Linked DNA regions of Astyanax mexicanus. The protein of the gene in region 1 purifies or fractionates together with the protein of each later gene. This does not show direct contact. Links are inferred from orthologs where the notes say so. Each region holds a gene or a part of one and is shown on either strand. Other genes may lie near its edges.

What was found. The genes of interacting proteins can lie anywhere in the genome.
Region 2: the proteins of ubiquinol-cytochrome-c reductase complex assembly factor 1 (region 1) and ubiquinol-cytochrome-c reductase complex assembly factor 2 purify together in Homo sapiens (co-immunoprecipitation; 3 studies listed by BioGRID and IntAct, counting the BioPlex papers as one, with this or other methods). This does not show direct contact. The link is inferred for Astyanax mexicanus from reciprocal best matches to the Homo sapiens genes UQCC1 and UQCC2.

What each region holds. Positions count from the first base shown.
Region 1 is NC_064412.1:43,867,096-43,877,798, reverse strand, and holds the start of ubiquinol-cytochrome-c reductase complex assembly factor 1, read right to left. Parts: upstream 5,102-10,703; 5' UTR 4,923-5,101; coding exon 4,857-4,922; intron 3,851-4,856; coding exon 3,749-3,850; intron 1-3,748. UniProt on the Homo sapiens protein: Required for the assembly of the ubiquinol-cytochrome c reductase complex (mitochondrial respiratory chain complex III or cytochrome b-c1 complex). Involved in cytochrome b translation and/or stability.
Region 2 is NC_064412.1:16,507,973-16,518,768, forward strand, and holds ubiquinol-cytochrome-c reductase complex assembly factor 2, read right to left. Parts: upstream 5,000-10,796; 5' UTR 4,951-4,999; coding exon 4,813-4,950; intron 3,677-4,812; coding exon 3,602-3,676; intron 3,463-3,601; coding exon 3,393-3,462; intron 2,404-3,392; coding exon 2,294-2,403; 3' UTR 1,859-2,293; downstream 1-1,858. Other genes in the region: tspo (translocator protein), read left to right, coding at 981-1,153, 1,332-1,470, 1,639-1,812; tomm6 (mitochondrial import receptor subunit TOM6 homolog), read left to right, coding at 5,217-5,317, 7,086-7,182; si:ch73-15b2.5 (rho guanine nucleotide exchange factor 19), read right to left, coding at 9,929-9,936, 10,020-10,072, 10,743-10,796.

The sequences.
Region 1 (10,703 bases):
CCTACTAATCTAACCAGCACAGCACCATCCATCTGTTATTAAACCCCAGAACCTACTAATCTAACCAGCACAGCTCCACCCATCTGTTATTAAACCCCAGAACCTACTAATCTAACCAGCACAGCACCATCCATCTGTTATTAAACCTCAGAACCTACTAATCTAACCAGCACAGCACCATCCATCTGTTATTAAGCCCCAGAATCTACTAATCTAACCAGCACAGCTCCATCCATCTGTTATTAAACCCCAGAATCTACTAATCTAACCAGCACAGCACCGTCCATCTGTTATTAAACCCCAGAACCTACTAATCTTACCAGCACAGCTCCATCCATCTGTTATTAAACCCCAGAATCTACTAATCTAACCAACACACCTCCATCCATCTGTTATTAAACACCAGAACCTACTAATCTAACCAGCACAGCACCGTCCATCTGTTATTAAACACCAGAACCTACTAATCTAACCAGGACAGCTCCATCCATATGTTATTAAACCTCAGAACCTACTAATCTAACCAGCACAGCACCATCCATCTGTTATTAAACCTCAGAACCTACTAATCTAACCAGCACAGCACCGTCCATCTGTTATTAAACACCAGAACCTACTAATCTAACCAGGACAGCTCCATCCATCTGTTATTAAACACCAGAACCTACTAATCTAACCAGCACAGCACCATCCATCTGTTATTAAACCCCAGAACCTACTAATCTAACCAGCACAGCTCCACCCATCTGTTATTAAACCCCAGAACCTACTAATCTAACCAGCACAGCACCATCCATCTGTTATTAAACCTCAGAACCTACTAATCTAACCAGCACAGCACCATCCATCTGTTATTAAGCCCCAGAATCTACTAATCTAACCAGCACAGCTCCATCCATCTGTTATTAAACCCCAGAATCTACTAATCTAACCAGCACAGCACCGTCCATCTGTTATTAAACCCCAGAACCTACTAATCTTACCAGCACAGCTCCATCCATCTGTTATTAAACCCCAGAATCTACTAATCTAACCAACACACCTCCATCCATCTGTTATTAAACACCAGAACCTACTAATCTAACCAGCACAGCACCGTCCATCTGTTATTAAACACCAGAACCTACTAATCTAACCAGGACAGCTCCATCCATCTGTTATTAAACACCAGAACCTACTAATCTAACCAGCACAGCACCATCCATCTGTTATTAAACCCCAGAACCTACTAATCTAACCAGCACAGCTCCACCCATCTGTTATTAAACACCAGAACCTACTAATCTAACCAGCACAGCACCATCCATCTGTTATTAAACCTCAGAACCTACTAATCTAACCAGCACAGCACCATCCATCTGTTATTAAACCCCAGAACCTAGTAATCTAACCAGCACAGCTCCATTCCTTCTGTTATTAAACACCAGAACCTACTAATCTAACCAGCACAGCTCCATCCATCTGTTATTAAACCCCAGAATCTACTAATCTAACCAGCACAGCACCGTCCATCTGTTATTAAACCCCAGAATCTACTAATCTAACCAGCACAGCACCATCTATCGGTTATCAAACCCCAGAACCTACTAATCTAACCAGCACAGCACCATCCATCTGTTATTAAACACCAGAACCTACTAATCTAACCAGCACAGCACCGTCCATCTGTTATCAAACCCCAGAACCTACTAATCTAACCAGCACAGCTCCATTCATCTGTTATTAAACCCCAGCACCTACTAATATAACCAGCACAGCTCAATCCATCTGTTATTAAACCCCAGAACCTACTAATCTAACCAGCACAGCTCCATCCATCTGTTATTAAGCCGCAGAATCTACTAATCTAACCAGCACAGCACCGTCCATCTGTTATTAAACCCCATAACCTACTAATCTTACCAGCACAGCTCCACCCATCTGTTATTAAACCCCAGAACCTACTAATCTAACCAGCACAGCACCATCCATCTGTTATTAAACACCAGAACCTACTAATCTAACCAGCACAGCTCCATCCATCTGTTATTAAACCCCAGAACCTACTAATCTAACCAGCACAACACCATCCATCTGTTATTAAACCCCAGAATCTACTAATCTAACCAGCACACCTCCATCCATCTGTTATTAAACACTAGAACCTACTAATCTAACCAGCACAGCACCGTCCATCTGTTATTAAACACCAGAACCTAATAATCTAACCAGCACAGCACCGTCCATCTGTTATTAAACACCAGAACCTACTAATCTAACCACCACAGCTCCATCCATCTGTTATTAAACCCCAGAATCTATTAATCTAACCAGCACAGCACTGTCCATCTGTTATTAAACCCCAGAATCTACTAATCTAACCAGCACAGCTCCATCCATCTGTTATTAAACCCCAGAATCTACTAATCTAACCAGCACAGCACCGTCCATCTGTTATTAAACCCCAGAACCTACTAATCTTACCAGAACAGCTCCACCCATCTGTTATTAAACCCCAGAATCTACTAATCTAACCAACACACCTCCATCCATCTGTTATTAAACACCAGAACCTACTAATCTAACCAGCACAGCACCGTCCATCTGTTATTAAACACCAGAACCTACTAATCTAACCAGGACAGCTCCATCCATCTGTTATTAAACACCAGAACCTACTAATCTAACCAGCACAGCACCATCCATCTGTTATTAAACCCCAGAACCTACTAATCTAACCAGCACAGCTCCACCCATCTGTTATTAAACCCCAGAACCTACTAATCTAACCAGCACAGCACCATCCATCTGTTATTAAACCTCAGAACCTACTAATCTAACCAGCACAGCACCATCCATCTGTTATCAAACCCCAGAACCTAGTAATCTAACCAGCACAGCTCCATTCCTTCTGTTATTAAACCCCAGAATCTACTAATCTAACCAGCACAGCACCGTCCATCTGTTATTAAACCCCAGAATCTACTAATCTAACCAGCACAGCACCATCCATCGGTTATCAAACCCCAGAACCTACTAATCTAACCAGCAGAGCACCATCCATCTGTTATTAAACACCAGAACCTACTAATCTAACCAGCACAGCACCATCCATCTGTTATCAAACCCCAGAACCTAGTAATCTAACCAGCACAGCTCCATTCCTTCTGTTATTAAACACCAGAACCTACTAATCTAACCAGCACAGCACCGTCCATCTGTTATTAAACCCCAGAACCTACTAATCTAACCAGCACAGCTCCATCCATCTGTTATTAAACCCCAGAACCTACTAATCTAACCAGCATATAAAAGTCCCCAGACCAGCTTATTTTAAAAGATGTTTCGTTTTCCATACTATTTTGTTTCATTTGGACTTCGCTAAGTAAAGTTTTGATCAAAACATCTAAAGTCGTTAATGTTAATGTTTGTATATCATTTTAAGCAGTAAACACCTTTAAGCTAGTATGTTTATTTTTACAGATAATTTCAGCTATTAATATAAAATTGTCCAGTATACAACTTTAAACGTATTTAAGAGCCAATGACAATGAGTTATATAAGATGTTAACATAGTAAAACGAGTAAAACAGGAGCAAATATTTATTATATATAATGTATGTAAACTAAATATGCATTTCTCCCATAGATTTAAGGATTTCAAATTTGCTTGGGAAATATTGAAACTCAGCAAACAAATCAGCAGGTTAGTAATTTAATGGAATCTGAAGGGATAGTCTGGTGTTAATATTAAAGTGATGAAACTCACCTCTCTTGTGCCATGAAGAGCTCGATTTTGTGCCTGAGAAGGAGCTTTTGCTCCCAGTACACGACAAGATGCCTTACTTAAGCAAGGACCTTGCTCTGGGACCTAAAAACACCGATACACAATTTAAAACAGAAATTTATTAATTACTGAGAATAAGATAAAACTTGAAACTAAGGGTTAGTATGTAGAGTTAGTTAATGGTTAGAGGGGGGTTGTAAAGGTTAGAGAGGGAGTTGTAAGGGTTAGTGGGGGAGTTGTAAGGGTTAGTAGGGGAGTTGTAAGGGTTAGTAGGGGAGTTGTAAGGGTTAGAGGGGGAGTTGTAAGGGTTAGAGGGGGAGTTGTAAGGGTTAGTAGGGGAGCTGTAAGGGTTAGAGGGGGAGTTGTAAGGGTTAGTAGGGGAGCTGTAAGGGTTAGAGGGGGAGTTGTAAGGGTTAGTAGGGGAGTTGTAAAGGTTAGTAGGGGAGTTGTAAAGGTTAGAGGGGGAGTTGTAAAGGTTAGAGGGGGAGTTGTAAGGGTTAGTAGGGGAGCTGTAAGGGTTAGAGGGGGAGTTGTAAGGGTTAGTAGGGGAGCTGTAAGGGTTAGAGGGGGAGTTGTAAGGGTTAGTAGGGGAGCTGTAAGGGTTAGAGGGGGAGTTGTAAGGGTTAGTAGGGGAGCTGTAAGGGTTAGAGGGGGAGTTGTAAGGGTTAGTAGGGGAGTTGTAAAGGTTAGTAGGGGAGTTGTAAAGGTTAGAGGGGGAGTTGTAAAGGTTAGAGGGGGAGTTGTAAGGGTTAGTAGGGGAGTTGTAAGGGTTAGTAGGGGAGTTGTAAGGGTTAGTAGGGGATTTGTAAGGGTTAGAGGCGGAGTTGTAAGGGTTAGAGGCGGAGTTGTAAGGGTTAGTTAATTGGGAGTTGTAAGGGTTAGTAGGGGAGTTATAAGGGTTAGTTTAACGGGAGTTGTAAGGGTTAGTTGGGGAGTTGTAAGGGCTAGTATGTAGGGTTAGTTAAACCGGAGTTGTAAGGGTTAGTTGGGGAGTTGTAAGGGTTAGAGAGGGAGTTATAAGGGTTAGTAGGGGAGTTGTAAGGTTGGTGGATGAGCTGGTGGGGTGGTGTATCCGCTGCAGTGTGTTTACCTGCCCCAGAGCGGTCCGGCTGCTGAACGCGCTGCGCAGGGCGGACTGTAAAGGGCGTCGGTACATAATTCCGCCAGAAGTCAGAATGTAATATTAACTGCACTCTTTCAGCGGCGGCGGCGGCGCGGTGGTGATGGTGGTAATCAGCAGCTCCCTCCGCTGCGCGTGTTACAGCTTTTATAAGCGGTTCCCCTCCTCTCCTGCAATGTCAAAGAATCTGCTCCACTGACTAACGAGTCCGACTACAAACCAGGAGCCCGCATGCTTAGTTCCGCTCGTGTGTACAGAGTAGTCCTGTCGCGAGACTAAACACATTTTCTGCTTTATACATATTTCACAATTCAAAACGGCACTGAACTCGGTTCTCTGCATAAAACACAACAATCTGACATACATTTAAGTTTCCATAGCAAAACACTATTATTTAAAATCACACAACATGAGCTAACTGGCCATTATAAGCCACCGGATCAAACACCTAGGTTTGCCAACTTTTCGAAAATGAAATAAGGGACGGGGGACGGGGATATATATATATATATATATATATATATATATTAGTCTATACATTTTATAACATAACTTCATAAAACCATGAAACAGTATGCTAAGTTTGTTGAAAAAAATATGTTTCGGCAGACACTTTTAGTATTAGATTAATTCAAACCACATGTATAAAATACAGTACTAACGTTTTAGGGACCAAAGTAATATGAGTGTTTTTTACCGGAAAAGCACCACATATGATTTGAACAGATGCAAATAAATAAAAAAAAATAAAAAATAAACATAAATACAGTAAAACATAACAAGGAATTCTCATATTTAACTACGTATGTTGTATCTTGTGATCCGAGCTAAAGAGTAAAGTGTAGAGATTATATTTTCTCCTGGATGCTACTCAGCCAGCATGTGTATATGTTCAGTTCCGTCAGCAGCTCACCTGCTTTACCAATTTACCAAACCAGGTGTAGATATGATGAGGAATAACTCTATAAAACTTAGATGAGGAGGAGAGATTAGGAGATGTTTTATTAAGGAGAACAGGGCTGTAAAAGCTCTGCTATTTGTAAAAGTGCTGTTTGTATTTATTGTATTTTTAGTGTTTTACTGAGCTAATAAACACTTACTGCACAGATAAGAAGCTTTTTCTTTACTGAAATTCCCACAGGTGCCTAAAACTTTTGCACAGTACTGTATGTTTCGTTCAGAAATATGTTGTTCATAACATAAATATTTTTAATGTAATAAATTAAATTGTGCAATTTTTGCTTTCAAATGAGCTTTTTTTTTTATACCATATCAGCTTCTGGAGACGCATATCGCACAGGGAACCTTGACACTGCTCCCTCTCCCTGTATTCTCCTCTCCCTGTATTCTCCTCAGCCTCTGGTCTCTCTCCTTCTGCGTGCTGTTAAACGCTGTACGTGAGCACTGGTCTCTGCGTTCTAAATCACAGGAATAGTGCACTATATTGTGGGTTAACCGGAGGTAAATAGTGCACTAGTTCTGTGATAGGGAGGGAGTGATTTAGAACGCGCCACCGCGCTGCCCCTCCTACGCTCAGAGAACAGCCACTCCTGAACAGAGGCTGATTGGTTGTGAGTCTCCGTGTCTTGACCAATGAGAGTCGCAGACTCTGTTTAGAAGGGGTGGCTGTTCTCCAGCGGAGGGGGGCAGCGCCGCAGCGGTGTTTCTGAAACAAATCACCCGCCTTAATAACTCACCTTAAAAATACGGGACAAATCGCGTCCCGGATCAATTCAAAACGGAACGCGTATTTTACTGCCCAAATATGGGGCGATTACGGATTTTAAGGGACGGTTGGTAACCCTAGTGAGAGGAGGAGGAAGAGTGACAGGGGAAAGAAGAGTAAGAGGCAGGGGTAGAATGAGGGGAAGAGTGAGAGGGGGAAGAAGAGTGAGAGGGGAAGGAAGAGTAAGAGGGGAAGAAGAGTGAGAGGGGAAAGAAGAGTGAGAGGGGAAGGAAGAGTGAGAGGGGGAAGAAGAGTGAGAGGGGAAGGAAGAGTGAGAGGAGAGGAAAAGTGAAAGATAGGGGTAGAGTGAGAGGGGAAGGAAGAGTGAGAGGGGAAAGAAGAGTGAGAGGGGAAGGAAGAGTGAGAGGGGAGGAAGAGTGACAGGGGAAGGAAGAGTGAGAGGGAAAGGAAGAGTGAGAGGGGAGGAAGATTGACAGGGGAAGGAAGAGTGAGAGGGGAGGAAGAGTGAGAGGGGGAAGAAGAGTAAGAGGGGAAGGAAGAGTAAAAGGAGGAAGAAGAGTGGAGGAAAAGTGCGAGGTAGGGGTAAAGTGAGAGGGGAGGAAGAGTGAGAGGGGAGGAAAAGTGAAAGATGGGGTAGAGTGAGAGGGGAAGGAAGAGTGAGAGGGGAGGAAGAGTGACAGGGGAAGGAAGAGTGAGAGGGGGAAGAAGAGTGAGAGGGGAAGGAAGAGTGAGAGGGGAAGGAAGAGTGAGAGGGGAGGAAGAGTGAGAGGGGAAGGAAGAGTGACAGGGGAGGAAGAGTGACAGGGGAAGGAAGAGTGAGAGGGGAAGGAAGAGTGAGAGGGGAGGAAGATTGACAGGGGAAGGAAGAGTGAGAGGGGAGGAAGAGTGAGAGGGGGAAGAAGAGTAAGAGGGGAAGGAAGAGTAAAAGGAGGAAGAAGAGTGAGAGGGGAAAGAAGAGTGAAAGGGGGGAAGAAGATTGAGATGGAAAAGAAGAGTGAGAGGGGAAAGAAGACTGAGAGGGGAAGGAAGAGTAAGAGGAGGATGAAGTGTGAGGGGGAAAGAAGAGTGAGAGGGGAAAGATCAGTGAGAGGGGAGGAAAAATGAGAGGTAGGGGTAAAGTGAGAGCAGGGAGGAAGTGTGAGGGGGAAAGAAGATTGAGAGGGCAAAGATCAGTGAGAGGGGAGGACAAGTGAGAGCTAGGGGTAAAGTAAGAGGGGGCAGGTGAAGAGTGATAGGTAGGGGTAGTGTGAGAGGGGAAAGAAGAGTGAGATGGGTGGAAAAGTGAGAGGTAGGGGTAAAGTGAGAGCAGGGAGGAAGAGTGAGGGGGAAAGAAGATTGAGAGGGCAAAGATCAGTGAGAGGGGAGGAAAAGTGAGAGGTAGCGGTAAAGTACGAGGGGGGGTGAAGAGTGATAGGTAGGGGTAGTGTGAGAGGGGAAAGAAGAGTGAGAGGGGATGAGAAGTGAGAGGTAGGGGTAAAGTAAGAGGGGGAGGAAGAGTATTAGGTAGGGGTAGAGTCAGAGGGGAAAGAAGAGTGAGAGGAGAGGAAAAGTGAGAGATAGGGGTAGAGTGAGAGGGGGAAGAAGAGAGAGGGGAAAGAAGAGTGAGAGGGAGGAAGAAGAGTAAGAGGGGAGGAAGATTGACAGGGGAAGGAAGAGTGAGAGGGGAGGAAGAGTGAGAGGGGGAAGAAGAGTAAGAGGGGAAGGAAGAGTAAAAGGAGGAAGAAGAGTGAGAGGGGAAAGAAGAGTGAAAGGGGGAAGAAGAGTGAGAGGGAAAAGAAGAGTGAGAGGGGAAAGAAGACTGAGAGGGGAAGGAAGAGTAAGAGGAGGATGAAGTGTGAGGGGGAAAGAAGAGTGAGAGGGGAAAGATCAGTGAGAGGGGAGGACAAGTGAGAGGTAGGGGTAGAGTGAGAGCAGGGAGGAAGAGTGTGAGGGGGAAGGAAGAGTGAGAGGGGGAAGAAGAGTGAGGATGAAAGAAGAGTGAGAGGGAAGGAAAAGTGAGAGGTAGGGGTAGAGTGAGAGGAGGAAGGAAGAGTGAGAGGGGGAAGGAAGAGGGGGAGGAAGAGTGAGGGGGAAAGAAGAGTGAGAGGGGAAAGATCAGTGAGAGGGGAGGACAAGTGAGAGGTAGGGGTAGAGTGAGAGCAGGGAGGAAGAGTGTGAGGGGGAAGGAAGAGTGAGAGGGGGAGGAAAAGTGAGGGGGAAAGAAGAGTGAGAGGGAAGGAAAAGTGAGAGGTAGGGGTAGAGTGAGAGGAGGAAGGAAGAGGGAGAGGGGGAAGAAGGGTGAGAGGGGAGGAAGAGTGAGTGGGGAAAGAAGAGTGAAAGAGGAGGAAAAGTGAGAGGTAGGGGTAAAGTAAGAGGAGGAGGAAGAGTGATAGGTAGGGGTAGAGTGAGAGGGGAAAGAAGAGTGAGAGGGGAGGAAAAGTGAGAGCTAGGGGTAGAGTGAGAGCAGGGAGGAAGAGTGAGAAGGGGAGGAAGAGTGAGGGGGAAAGAAGAAAGAGAGGGGAGGAAAAGTGAGAGATCGGGGTAGAGTGAGAGGGGGAGGAAGAGTAAGAGGGTAGGAAGAGTGAGAGGGGAGGAAGAGTGAGGGGGGAATGAAGAGTGAGAGGCGGAAGAAGGGTGCGAGGGGAAAGAAGAGTAAGAGGGGAAGAAAAGTGAGAGATAGGGGTAGAGTGAGAGGGGAGGAAGAGTGAGAGGGGAGGAAAAGTGAAAGATAGGGATAGAGTGAGAGGGGGAGGAAGAGTGAGAGGTAGGAGTAGAGTAAGAGGGGAAGGAAGAGTAAGAGGGAAGAAAGAGTGAGAGGGGAAGGAAGAGTGAGAGGTGAGGAAAAGTGAAAGATAGGGGTAGAGTGAGAGGGGGAGGAAGAGATAGTGATAGCGTGAGAGGGGGAGGAAGAGTGAGAGTTAAGAGTAGAGTGAGAGGGGAAGGAAGAGTAAGAGGGAAGAAAGAGTGAGAGGGGAGGAAGAGTGAGAGGGGAAAGAAGAGTGAGAGGGGAGGGAGAGTGAGAGCGGGAGGAAGATTGAGAAGGGAAAGGTGAAGAAAGAGTAAAACGGGGGAAAAGATTGAGAGGGGAAAAAAGAGTGAGAGGGGAAGGAAGAGTTAGAAGGGAAAGAAGAGTGAGAGAGGAGGAAACGTGTGAGGTAGGGGTAAAGTGAGAGGGGGAGGAAGAGTGAGAGGTAGGCATAAAGTGAGAGGTAGGGATAAAGTGAGAGGGGGAGGAAGAGTGAGAGGTAGGGGTAGAGTGAGAGGGGAGGAAGAGTGAGAGGGGGAAGAAGAGTGAAAGGTGGAAGGAACAGTGAGAGGGGGAGAAAGAGTGAGAGGGGAAAGAAGAGTGAGAGGTGAGGAAAAGTGAGAGGTAGGGCTAGAGTGAGAGTGGGAGGAAGAGTGAGAGGTAGGGGTAGAGTGAGAGTGGGAGGAAGAGTGAGATGTAGGGGTAGAGTGAGAGAAAAGGAAAAGTGAGAGGGAAGGAAGAGTAAGAGGGGGAGTAAGAGTAAGAGGGGGAGGAAGACTGAGAGGGAAGAAGCATGAGAGAGAAGGAAAAGTGGAGTAAAATGGAAAAGTAAAAGTGAAAAGAGTGAGAAAGGAGGAAGAGTGAAAGGTAGGGGTAGAGTGAGAGAGGAAGGAAGAGTGTGAGAGGAGAAAGAATTAGCGGTAGGGGTAGAGTGGGATAGAAAGGAAGAGTGTGAGAGAAGTAAGAGTGAGAGGGGGAGGAAGAGGGGGAGAGGAAGAAGAGTTAGAGGTAGCGGTGGCATGAGAAGGGTAGGAAGAGTGTGAGAGGAGGAAGAGATGGGGTAGGGGTAGAGTGAGAGGGGAAAGAAGAGTAAGAAAAGAGGAAGAGTGTGAGAGGTAGGCGTAGAGTGAGAGGGGAAGGAAGAGTGTGAAAGGTGGAAGAGTTAGCGGTAGGGGTAGAGTCAAAGGGGTGGGAAGAGTAAGTAAGGAGGAAGAGTGAAAGGTAGAGTGAGAGGAAGAAGAAAGAGTGTAAGAGGAGAAAGAGTGAGAGGTAGAGGTAGATTGTGAGGCAGAGGAACAGTGAGAAGAGGAAGAGTGAGAGGTAGGAGTAGAGCAATAGGGGAGAAGGGAGAGGAAGAGTGAGAGGGGAAGGAAGAGTGAGATGGGGAAGAAGAGTGAGAGGGGGA
Region 2 (10,796 bases), about 27 Mb from region 1:
CTTGGTGTGCTACCAACAAATGTTTTTGTTTGTTTGATGAGATTGATTAATGTGCTATTTACCTGTAAATTGCAATTACTTTTTAACGAAGAAAACATGAAATAACAAAAAAAAATCTATTAATGAATACATATGCAATTAAATAGTAAAAGTGTTTGGCCTTCACAAACACCTGACATAAAATCCAACCCTGGTTGTTTGGGATGAGTCAGAGCACAGAGTGAAGGAAAAGGATTTGGAGAACCTTTCCAGGTTCAGCCTCATTAGGCCAACTGAGAGAACAATGCCAAGAGTGGGCAAAGTTGGCAACATAACAAAAGCTGCTACTTTGAAGAATCTAAAGTACAAAACATATTTTTCCTTGTTTAACACTTTTTGTTTACTTCATAATTGCATATGCATTACTTCATAGTTTTGATGATTTAATATTGATCTACAACATATAAAATTATGAAAAAATTAGATATAAAGAAAAAAAACATGAAATAAAAAGGGCTGTGTCCAAACTGGTGCTGTAAATGCTTAAATGGTTTATGCACATATTCATATAAACTACCTTTAAGGAAATGTCACTTTTTTCTTTTTTGCTTAGATTTGCAAACAAAATAACTGTGTGAGTTTATTTGACATGCACACCCCCAACTGGACCAAACTGTATTTACAACCATGTTCAACAGCATTCCCTTGTGGTAAAGCAGCCTCATGCCATAGGGATTTTACAGAGCTGAAAACAATGCACTGCATTCCCTGTTTTCCTGTTATCACAAACCTGATTCAAGCAGACAGTGAATGTTCTGTTCATGGGTTCTCAAAAAAGAATTTGCCAGTACCGTTTAGTAGAAATAGAGTTAATGAGCATTCCTAATGGGCTGTCCACATGTTGGGCTTAAAGGATCCAGCTTACTAAGAAATCCTGATCTGTGAATAATTAACTCCACCAATAAACAGACTTTTGATGATTTCTCTTCTGTATTATAGATATGTGGATTCCATTGTTGGGTCTGACTGCTTTACCACATGTTGGTGGGCTCTATGGAGGGTTCATCACAAGAAAAGAGGTGAAGACCTGGTACACTACACTTAACAAGCCATCATGGAGGCCACCCAATGCTGCTTTTCCAGTGGTGTGGACCACGCTCTACACTGGCATGGGGTTAGTATGTGATGGTGACCCTGTATTATTAGTTTAAGGATTAATTAAAATTAGGACACATGCTCATATCCACGTTTTACAGCATAGTAACCAATGATGTGTAGACAACTTTATTTACTATCAGCCTTTTGTCAAAACCTAATTATGAATGTCTTGTCTTAATTTTTTTCTGTTTTAGGTATGGTTCATACCTGGTGTGGAAAGAGCTGGGAGGCTTCAATGAGAATTCACTGGTTCCACTAGGGCTTTATGGCCTGCAGCTGGCACTGAACTGGGCTTGGACCCCAATCTTTTTTGGAGCACACAAAATAAAACTGGTGAGAGTAGAAGCCTATTCAGTTCAGTTTTCTTTATTACAGTTCCAATAAAGTGGTTCTTCAATATTTACTGCACTTCTACTGTACTAAGTTTGTATTTACCTAACTGTTGAGTGAAAAATATGCCCTGTTATTGTGCCTCACATTTCCGTACTCTTCTCCCTGCAGGCACTTATTGAGCTTGTGATGCTCTCGGGTACAGTGGCAGCTACCATGGTGTCTTGGTACCCAGTGAACCGTACTGCTACACTCCTGATGGTCCCATATATGGCCTGGCTCTGCTTGGCCACATCCCTTAACTACTGTATCTGGAGGGACAACCCAGAAACTAAAAAGGACTAGAGTGGACAAAAAGGAAACAAAATTAATGCACACAAACAGCAAGATATAATTTTCAACAGTCAATAACAAGAATCTGCCTTTAATCACATTAAGTGCATATTCAAGTGATATCTTATTATACACTTGGCAACCAATATTGAAAAAGTGTGAAAATTAGATTAGATGTTTTATACTAACATTTTGCCTGCTTCCATGCTAATTTTATATTGTTGTTTAAATTGCACTATGTAATTCTTCCAAAATAAAATAATAAAAAAATACATGTGACATGTTGACTGTGGAAATAATTTAGTGTGGTTTCTGTAAAACATTCAGCATATTTTAATACAATTTGGCTTTAATGTTTACAAGCCATGTACACATTAAATACAGTTTTTATACAACTACATTGCATAAGAAACATGCAGAGACTGACAGTAACAATAAGCAAAAATAACCATTTATAATAGTAAATGTGACAGGATTGAGTTTACAATGTAAATTACTGCTTTTCAGGTTTCTCAGGAGAAGCGTCTTCTGGCTTAGAGGAAAATCGGTTCATCAGAGTCTTCCACAATCCCTTCTTTTCTTCATCCGTCTGTTGCATACTTCCTGCATCATACAACAAAATAATGGGACCAAAGGATGTCCGGTTGCAGTCTCATTGCAAAAACAAACAGCCTTAATCATTACAACAAATACATAAGTACTTAACATGAAGGACATCTTGTGGTCAAATGGTAATACTACATGAGCATGTACAGGTTTATACATGAAATGTATTTTAGATAAATGCAGAGTTGTATGCAAAAGTGTGTGCACCTCTATTAAAATGACATGTTAATTTTCTGTAAAAAGTTAAATTCTCAAGAAAAAACAAACTGCATATTTTAGAGCACACTTTCTATTTATCTTCATAAATAAAATTTATCATAAAAAGTTTGTTATATGTTCCAGCACATTTCTAGACAATACAACCTGTCCAGATCTGTTAAACAAAACAAAAACAAAAATTGTGCATTTTAATACGCAGAGGTTGTGTATGACTTACTTTTACATAAATCTTAAATGTGCTTCCTATTAACTTTTTGGACACTTTAAAATCCAAAACAGTAATACACTTGGGTTCTAGTATGGTCTGTACGGTTGATGCAAATCATACTTAAAAATCCTACTATGATTATAGAACATAGCATACAGGTAAATAGTGAGCAATGTGATTCCATGACCTGAATAACACTGCCATTACAAGTTCTGTCAGAAAGCACTCCCCAACTTCTATTCAGATTTTGGTAAAAAAATACACTGTTTATTATAAGGTCAAAATGTCAACCTGTAGACAAATCCAAATAAAAAAAAACAAAAACATATCTGCTGATGGTCCTTAAACAATAATCATAACATACGAAGAAATGCTGATTAACTCTGGCAACCCAGTACAATAAAATGGACTTTCTTTATTCCTGTTCCTTATAAATGACTGACCTTACAGGTATGTTTTTCACTTATACATATTTAACTGTAAAAGGTAAGCTCTTTCAGAATAAAATGATGATGATGGGAAAAAAAGGATAACATTTACCAAAAAAGAAAAATCTTACCTGATGATAATAACATCCGGCACTCCTCTACTGTCACACCAGTAAAACTTGTGTCTTTTGCTCGAGGAAACTGGAAAAGTATTAAAGAAGCTTCTTTCAATAAACATAATAAAATGTGACACACAAATGCATTATATTACAAGCTCTCTGAAAATAATACTATCATGACAAGCATATATATTGAGTAAACTCTCTGGGTTTAGACCTACCTTCTCTTTGTAAACATTGCTGTTGATGCGAGCCAAACTTTCATACATCTGATCACATTTTTCTGGGTCAGAGATCTATTTAGGAAAAAGATAAGTAAATAAAATAAATGAATTTTAAATTATTGTAATCCATTTCAGTGTAATTTTCCTTTAAATTACTGTACAATTCTCAAAAATACCATCTTCATCAGTAGTTCTCAACCCTAAAGTGCCAATGATGTTATCATGCTGTAGAGTGCTCAGAAAAATTCCTTTATTTTCACTGCAGAGTAAATTTGGTAGGTATAAATGGAAAGAATGAGTCCTAATTAGCAGTGAATATTAAATAAGCATTAATTTTTGGTTGCATTAAATCTTTTAATGTTAATGATGGAAAAACAACTTTAATACAACCGTTATTAGGTTGGCATCAGTTAGTGTTGGGATTCTGTCATGTAATCATTTAAAGGTTTTGAATGGTTGGGCCTCTTCTACACTCAGGATATTTCTGCAGGATTTCTGCACTGCAAGATCACAGTACAGGCTATAAGATCAGAACACAAACACTAAATTTATTAAATGTACAAACAATACATATATACGCATAACGTTTAATCAACATAAAATAAACATGCAAAAATGTATCAATTCTGATGTAGGTAAGTGAAGTGTAAGTGTAGGTAAGTAAAGTCTGATTTAGTTACATAATGTTGATTGCCCGTCACTGTGTGTTAAGGGCAATAAAATAAAAACAAATACACAAAAAAATATTGTATATTATATAATGTGCGTAACAAGTGAAACTTTGCGCTGAGAAAAATGCACATCTAATTACAGTGGCCCTATAAACAATCCTTAGCAGTTCAGTATATTAAAATATTAAAGTATGTAATATAAAGTTAACGATTAACAATTAGTTGACAATTGTCATTGTACTAGTTGTCGATTATATCGACTAATCGTTGCAGCCTTAGTTTGTATTATGATGTTTTTGGAAATCAATAAAAAAAAAAACAGCAGTGGCATCACTATCTAACGCTAGTTAAAGAGAATCCATCACACATGTGAGTAATACACACTGCATGTGTAGTCAGTAAGCGAGGGGACAGTGTTAGTACAGGAAGACACAGCTGTGTTCGGTGTTTATCCAGATTCCTCCAGAGGTGACCGTGTCTGCAACACTGATTTGTGTGTGTCCCCCTAATCGTTATATAGCTGTATATAATCGTTACCTGCGTGTTTTCGCCCTCCCTGAACGCGCTGGCCACTCTCTGCCGTAAGAAAGTCCCCAGATCCCGGCCTTTTTTTGTTTCGTCTCTTGGCCATTCTTCACATAACTTCAGGAATCGACGGTACCTGGTGGCTGCCATATTTGACTGGGAGGAAGGTACAGAGACGCTTGTGAAGTCAGGGTCGCGCTCAGGGACAAACAGAGCGGCGTGCGTAGCGTTGGTTTAAATGCTGCATCTAAATCTCACATTGAGCAATCCGGCTTTCCGTAGCGGGAACGCGAAACGATAATCTCACGTGTTTCTTCCCATTACACAAGGTCTAGCAGTGCAGCAGCAGCTAGCGTCCACCTTAAGATAACCTTATCTTATTTTCTATTCAATATATTTATCAGTAGTAATAGAAAATGAGTGGGGCAGGAAAGAAGCCTGAAGCGGCATCTCCAGGAATCGGTGGCTGGTTTAGCTCCGCTTGTCGGTTCGCGACAGACAGAAACGATTTCAGACGGTAAGCTAAGCTAAGCTAATATAGCTGTTAGAAACCCATAGCTAAGGATAGCCAGGTCAGGTTTGCTAGCTAATGGATTAGCTAACGTTAGCTAAATAGATACTGAAGATCTAGGTCTTTGCTTATTTTATTTATTTAACTATATGTTAGATTAAGCATTTAGAAAAGCTAATTGCTTTTCATGATTAGAAGAGTAGCTACAACTAAATGATAATCGTAATGGTAAAGAACGTTGAATAAACGTTCATTTTTTTGGTTGCATTGTGTTCTCTTTAAGGTTGATGATGGAAGAACAACCATAAACAACCTTTATTTAACATTGACTAATACGCATCATTAGTGTTGATATTTTTGGTTGCATTAACCCACATCTTTCAAGGTTAATGATGAAAAAAACAACAACCATAAAACAACCTTTATTTAGCATTGCCTGATAGGCATGGGTTAGTGTTGCAAACATTTACTTAACTAAAGGTTTAGAATTTTAGAGGATGGTGGGCAATATAGTATTTATGGTATACTCTTGGCTGAATTGAAAATTACACTTTATTCTTGCATGTGATATGATGTGGCACACCTCTAACTGACTTATAATAAAAATCAAGAATTTTATCAGATTTGTAACATAAGTCAATGATCCAGAATGTCATAATAGTAATAATGCATTCCAAATATCTCCACATATCCAGGATTAAAGTAAAATGAATGATTCTGGACAGATAAAATCTGTCTCTAGCAGATATATACATATATACACATTTTTTTTTATTTCACTGAAAACTGCAAACAAAGTAGTACCTTGGTGTGATAATCAGGGGTGGGGGATATGGCATGATATTTTAGGGTATAATATGAAAAAAAAAAATCCAAACTGTTGATATTATTGCCTACAGTACGATATGGCACACTTCTAGTAGGGGCTCTGAATATACACACATTAATGCTTTTATGTGAAAGGTGCTCCCCACAAATAATACTATTAATAATATTAGTAATTATTACTTGTCAATTCTTACAATATATATAAAAATAATACAAGATATTCATATTTAACTAATGTTTAACACAATACAAAAACAATACATATAAAACAATGTAAAATAAGTGTAAACTGTGTACACAAACAAATCAATGCTGACGGAGATCAAAGTTTTAATTCAATAGGGATGGAAAAATAAATGTTGATTCAACGTCCTTTTGCTAGCTGGGTAGATAACGGTACCGATAACTGCTGTAAGGAATTACCATTAGTTTTAGTTAAAGTAACCATTGTATGTTATCTAAACTAGCTTTAAGTATAAAAAAAAATCTGATAACCGCTAATGATAATAAAATTATCTGTAACCTAGCTAAGCTGTCTAACTAATGTATACTTGAACACAAACATATTGCTAATCTATTCAATGGCAAACTGTTGTGGCATCCCTAGGTCACGACCTCTATTTAAATGTGGAGTCTATCATGTGTCATCAAATATTTTTATGTATGTTTTGGTACCCCTAAAATAGTTCTACCTTCCAGCATTTTCACTCCTCAGTGCATTTAGTTTTTACTTGCAGAAAGTTTGATTAACAAAAGGTTAATCAAAAAATGTTAGATTCCACAAGAAGAGTTGGTGACCAGTGTTTTTTAATCGGGTTTTAATCATCACCTAAAAATAACTCAATAGCTTAATCACCAGTGTCCAGTCCTGCGCATAGTTAAGGCTCTAATATAACCTCTAATAACCTTTGACAGTATTTATCTTACCTTTCTCTTTTTTCTATAGGAATCTCCTAGTTAATCTAGGCTTGTTTGCAGCTGGAGTTTGGGTAGCAAGGAACCTGTCAGACTTTGACCTGATGTCTCCTCAACCAGGCACATAATTCTAACCTAATGAACACCAGGAGGCCATCAGGTTTACAGGTAACATTGCATGTGTTTATTTACGATAAAAAACAATACAAGTCAAGTGGCTTTTGTCATTCCATCTGAGTACAAGTACACAGTGAAGTGAAAACACATTCCTCCAGGACTGTGGTGCATCATGGTACAAACAGTATGATATACAGGTGCTGGTCAACGAATTAGAATAATTTGAAATAGTGCAATCATGAAATTCTTTGAATGCATTTTTTGTGCAGAAAGCAAATCAGGTGTTCACCGCACCTGTCCTACTCGTTAGACTAATCACAGAACTCGTTACCTGGAAAAAAATTTGCTCAGCTGAGCTTTCCAAAAGGCCCATTTAGGCCATTTAACTGTGACACTGTTGTTTTATTGAATTAGAATAATGGAGAAACCGTTTCATTGAATTAGAATAAATGCTCGAATTTTTGTTTTCTGTGAAGAGTGTTCACTGTGCAGTATAAAGTCAGGGTTGAGTAGAATTTCTAAGTTGTAAAATCAATCATGGGTAAGCAGCGCGACCTCTCAACCGGAATAGTGGCTCAAATTCAAGCCCTTTGCCAACAAGGCTTGACCCAAACTAAAATTGCTGAGCAGCTCGGCATCAGCCAGTCTTCCGTCTGCAAAGCTCTCAAGAAAAACTGCAGCAAGCGCACCAACTGTTCCGGCGTCCGAAAAACTTCTGCTCGCGACAACAAGCAGCTGAGAAAGATCGCAGTCAGCAACCGGTTCAAGTCCACTTCCGAGCTCACCGACTTGTGGAACAAGCAGACCGGCGCTGACGTCTCCAGATCAACCACTTACCGTCGTCTGCGCGAACTCTGCTTCAAATCTCGCGTTCCAGCAGTAAAACCGATGCTGAACAAGAAACAAATGGAGAAACGGCTGAAGTGGGCCAAAGAACACGGCGAGTGGACTGCTGAAGCCTGGCAGAAAGTGGTCTTCAGTGACTAATCACGCTTCTGCATCTCCTTCGGTGACCAAGGTCCTCGTGTCTGGCGTCGTGGTGGCGAAACCTACAACCACAAGTGCGTGAAAAGATCCGTCAAGTTTCCCCAGAGCGTTATGGTCTGGGGATGCATGTCCGCTCGAGGTGTAGGGAAACTCTGCTTCCTCAAGAAGACTGTCAATGCTGCCGTATATCAAGATGTTCTGGAAACGTTCCTGATTCCGACTGTTGAGGAACAGTTCGGCGAAGAAGACTTCATATTTCAACAGGATCTTGCACCGGCTCATGCGGCAAAGTCGACCAAAGATTGGTTCACTAAAAAACAGCTTGAAGTTTTGGCATGGCCGGCCAACTCGCCTTACCTCAATGTCATTGAAAACCTTTGGGCCATCGTCAAGCGGAAAATTCGTGACAGAAAGCCTACTACGCTGGACCAACTGAAGCAGAACATCGCCACTGCCTGGGAAGCTGTGAGTGCGGAAATTTGCGACAAGCTGGTCAAATCGATGCCGAGGAGACTTCAGGCAGTCATACAAGCCAAGGGGGCAGCCACAAAATACTGAGAAAGTGATGATTGTAATTATAATAAAAATTATTCTAATTCAATGAAACGGTTTCTCCATTATTCTAATTCAATAAAACAACAGTGTCACAGTTAAATGGCCTAAATGGGCCTTTTGGAAAGCTCAGCTGAGCCAATTTTTTTCCAGGTAACGAGTTCTGTGATTAGTCTAACGAGTAGGACAGGTGCGGTGAACACCTGATTTGCTTTCTGCACAAAAAATGCATTCAAAGAATTTCATGATTGCACTATTTCAAATTATTCTAATTCGTTGACCAGCACCTGTAGACAACATGAAGAGCAAACCTACAACAAATTGTGCAAACAGAACTAGAACTACAATACATACAACCGACATTAGACATTTTAACAGACAGGACAGTTCAGTACCAACCAGGGCTGTAAAAAGTAGTCAACATAATTATAAAAATGTATCAATTCCGAATTTTAGTGCCCAATTAAGTCCCCAAGTCAGTTAAAGGGCATTAAAGAAAACAGACACATTTGTATTTTTTTAAAGTGATGAATAAAGAAGGAGCCAGGATAGTATAGCAGAAATAAATTGCTGACTAATCTAAAAAAATAAAACAGATTATTGGACTACCAAAACAATAATTAGTTACAGCCTTAGTACCTACACAGTACAACCTGAATGCGTGTTTTGGGGGATATGCAATATGCTACAACATGGGTATACGCAGTGATAGCTTAATACATACATGAACTCAACAGTTACTGAGGTAGAGCTTAATATTGCTGATAGTAGGTATAGAGTGGGAGCATCAGTAGAGACACGCATTTCAATCAGCCTCAAGGCCAGTCACCTGATTAAATTGTTATAATTACAGATGAGCTGCTGCTATATCCTGTTCCATGAGTGATAGCAGTGTTTATCATTACATTTAACAGTTCATGTTAATTTCTTATACTTACATGCTATAAATTAACCTCATTTTTTTGTTTCTAGGAGGTGATTGACATTTCTTCTATTCAAGAATGAATCTTCGTAACAAACAGGACTGATAATAAATCACACTGAATGAGGATTGCATAACCAGAGGACTGTATTATTGCACAGTGAAACAACTGATTATTAGAAATGTCAAACTTTATTTAGAATATAAATAACAGTACAGGTTTATATTAAAACAATTGTTTATGAACATGCTGTTTTTCACAATGTGGGATAAGGCCATCATTCAAGCAGGCTTGGTCATACACCTGAAAGAACGGATGTACAAAAATGATGTATGCAAAACCCAATAAAATGTGTACTACCATCATGAAATCTGTGATTGAATTACCTGATGTGCTCTTCTGTGAAGATAAAAGCTGGATCCAGGTTTCTCTTTCCAACCTGCAAACAGTGGGTTTAAAAAGAATCAAACTTTCACATCCAATTCAACAGGGAGGCCTTGATTTAAAACTCTGTTTTATTCACACAATGTATTCTCACAGTTTAGTAGCTATCTGGTCTGCTGGCACCCTGGACAAATACAAGGCCAGACCTACCTCTGTAAATGGGACGGAAATCTAATTTGTGGCATATCTATATTGGGTTCAGACAGCAAGAAGCATGTGAAATTTGATTTTTGCAAATCCGAACAAAACAAGTGTAAACATTTGTAAGGCCAAATTCTTTTCATGGCAAGAAAGGCATAAGAAGTTCAGCATTTTTTTTGTTGTTTCACAGAAATAAGATTGGGTATAACTAGTTTGCTTAGCAGCAGCAATCGTAGCAAGTATGCTAGCTCCAAACTGGACTAAATCTGTTGGCCGGAGTCACTACAAGGACGCCTGTGAGGTTTGCTGTTGATTTCAAAGACCAACAGTTGTTTTCCAGTACAGCATACAGCATCTTAAATGTGCAGCTAAGATACACTCTTAAATTCATGGTGCTTCAGTTTACATATCTTCATTACAAACCCCATTCATTAGTGAATATTGTACAAAACCATTTGAAACACCTTTGTTTTTAGGAGTTCTACAGGAAAATCAAGCAGAGATCAGAATTGAAAAATAGATACCGTGTCTGAGCAGCAAGTATAATAGCAGTTGCAGTTTTTGAATGGTTCTGGGTG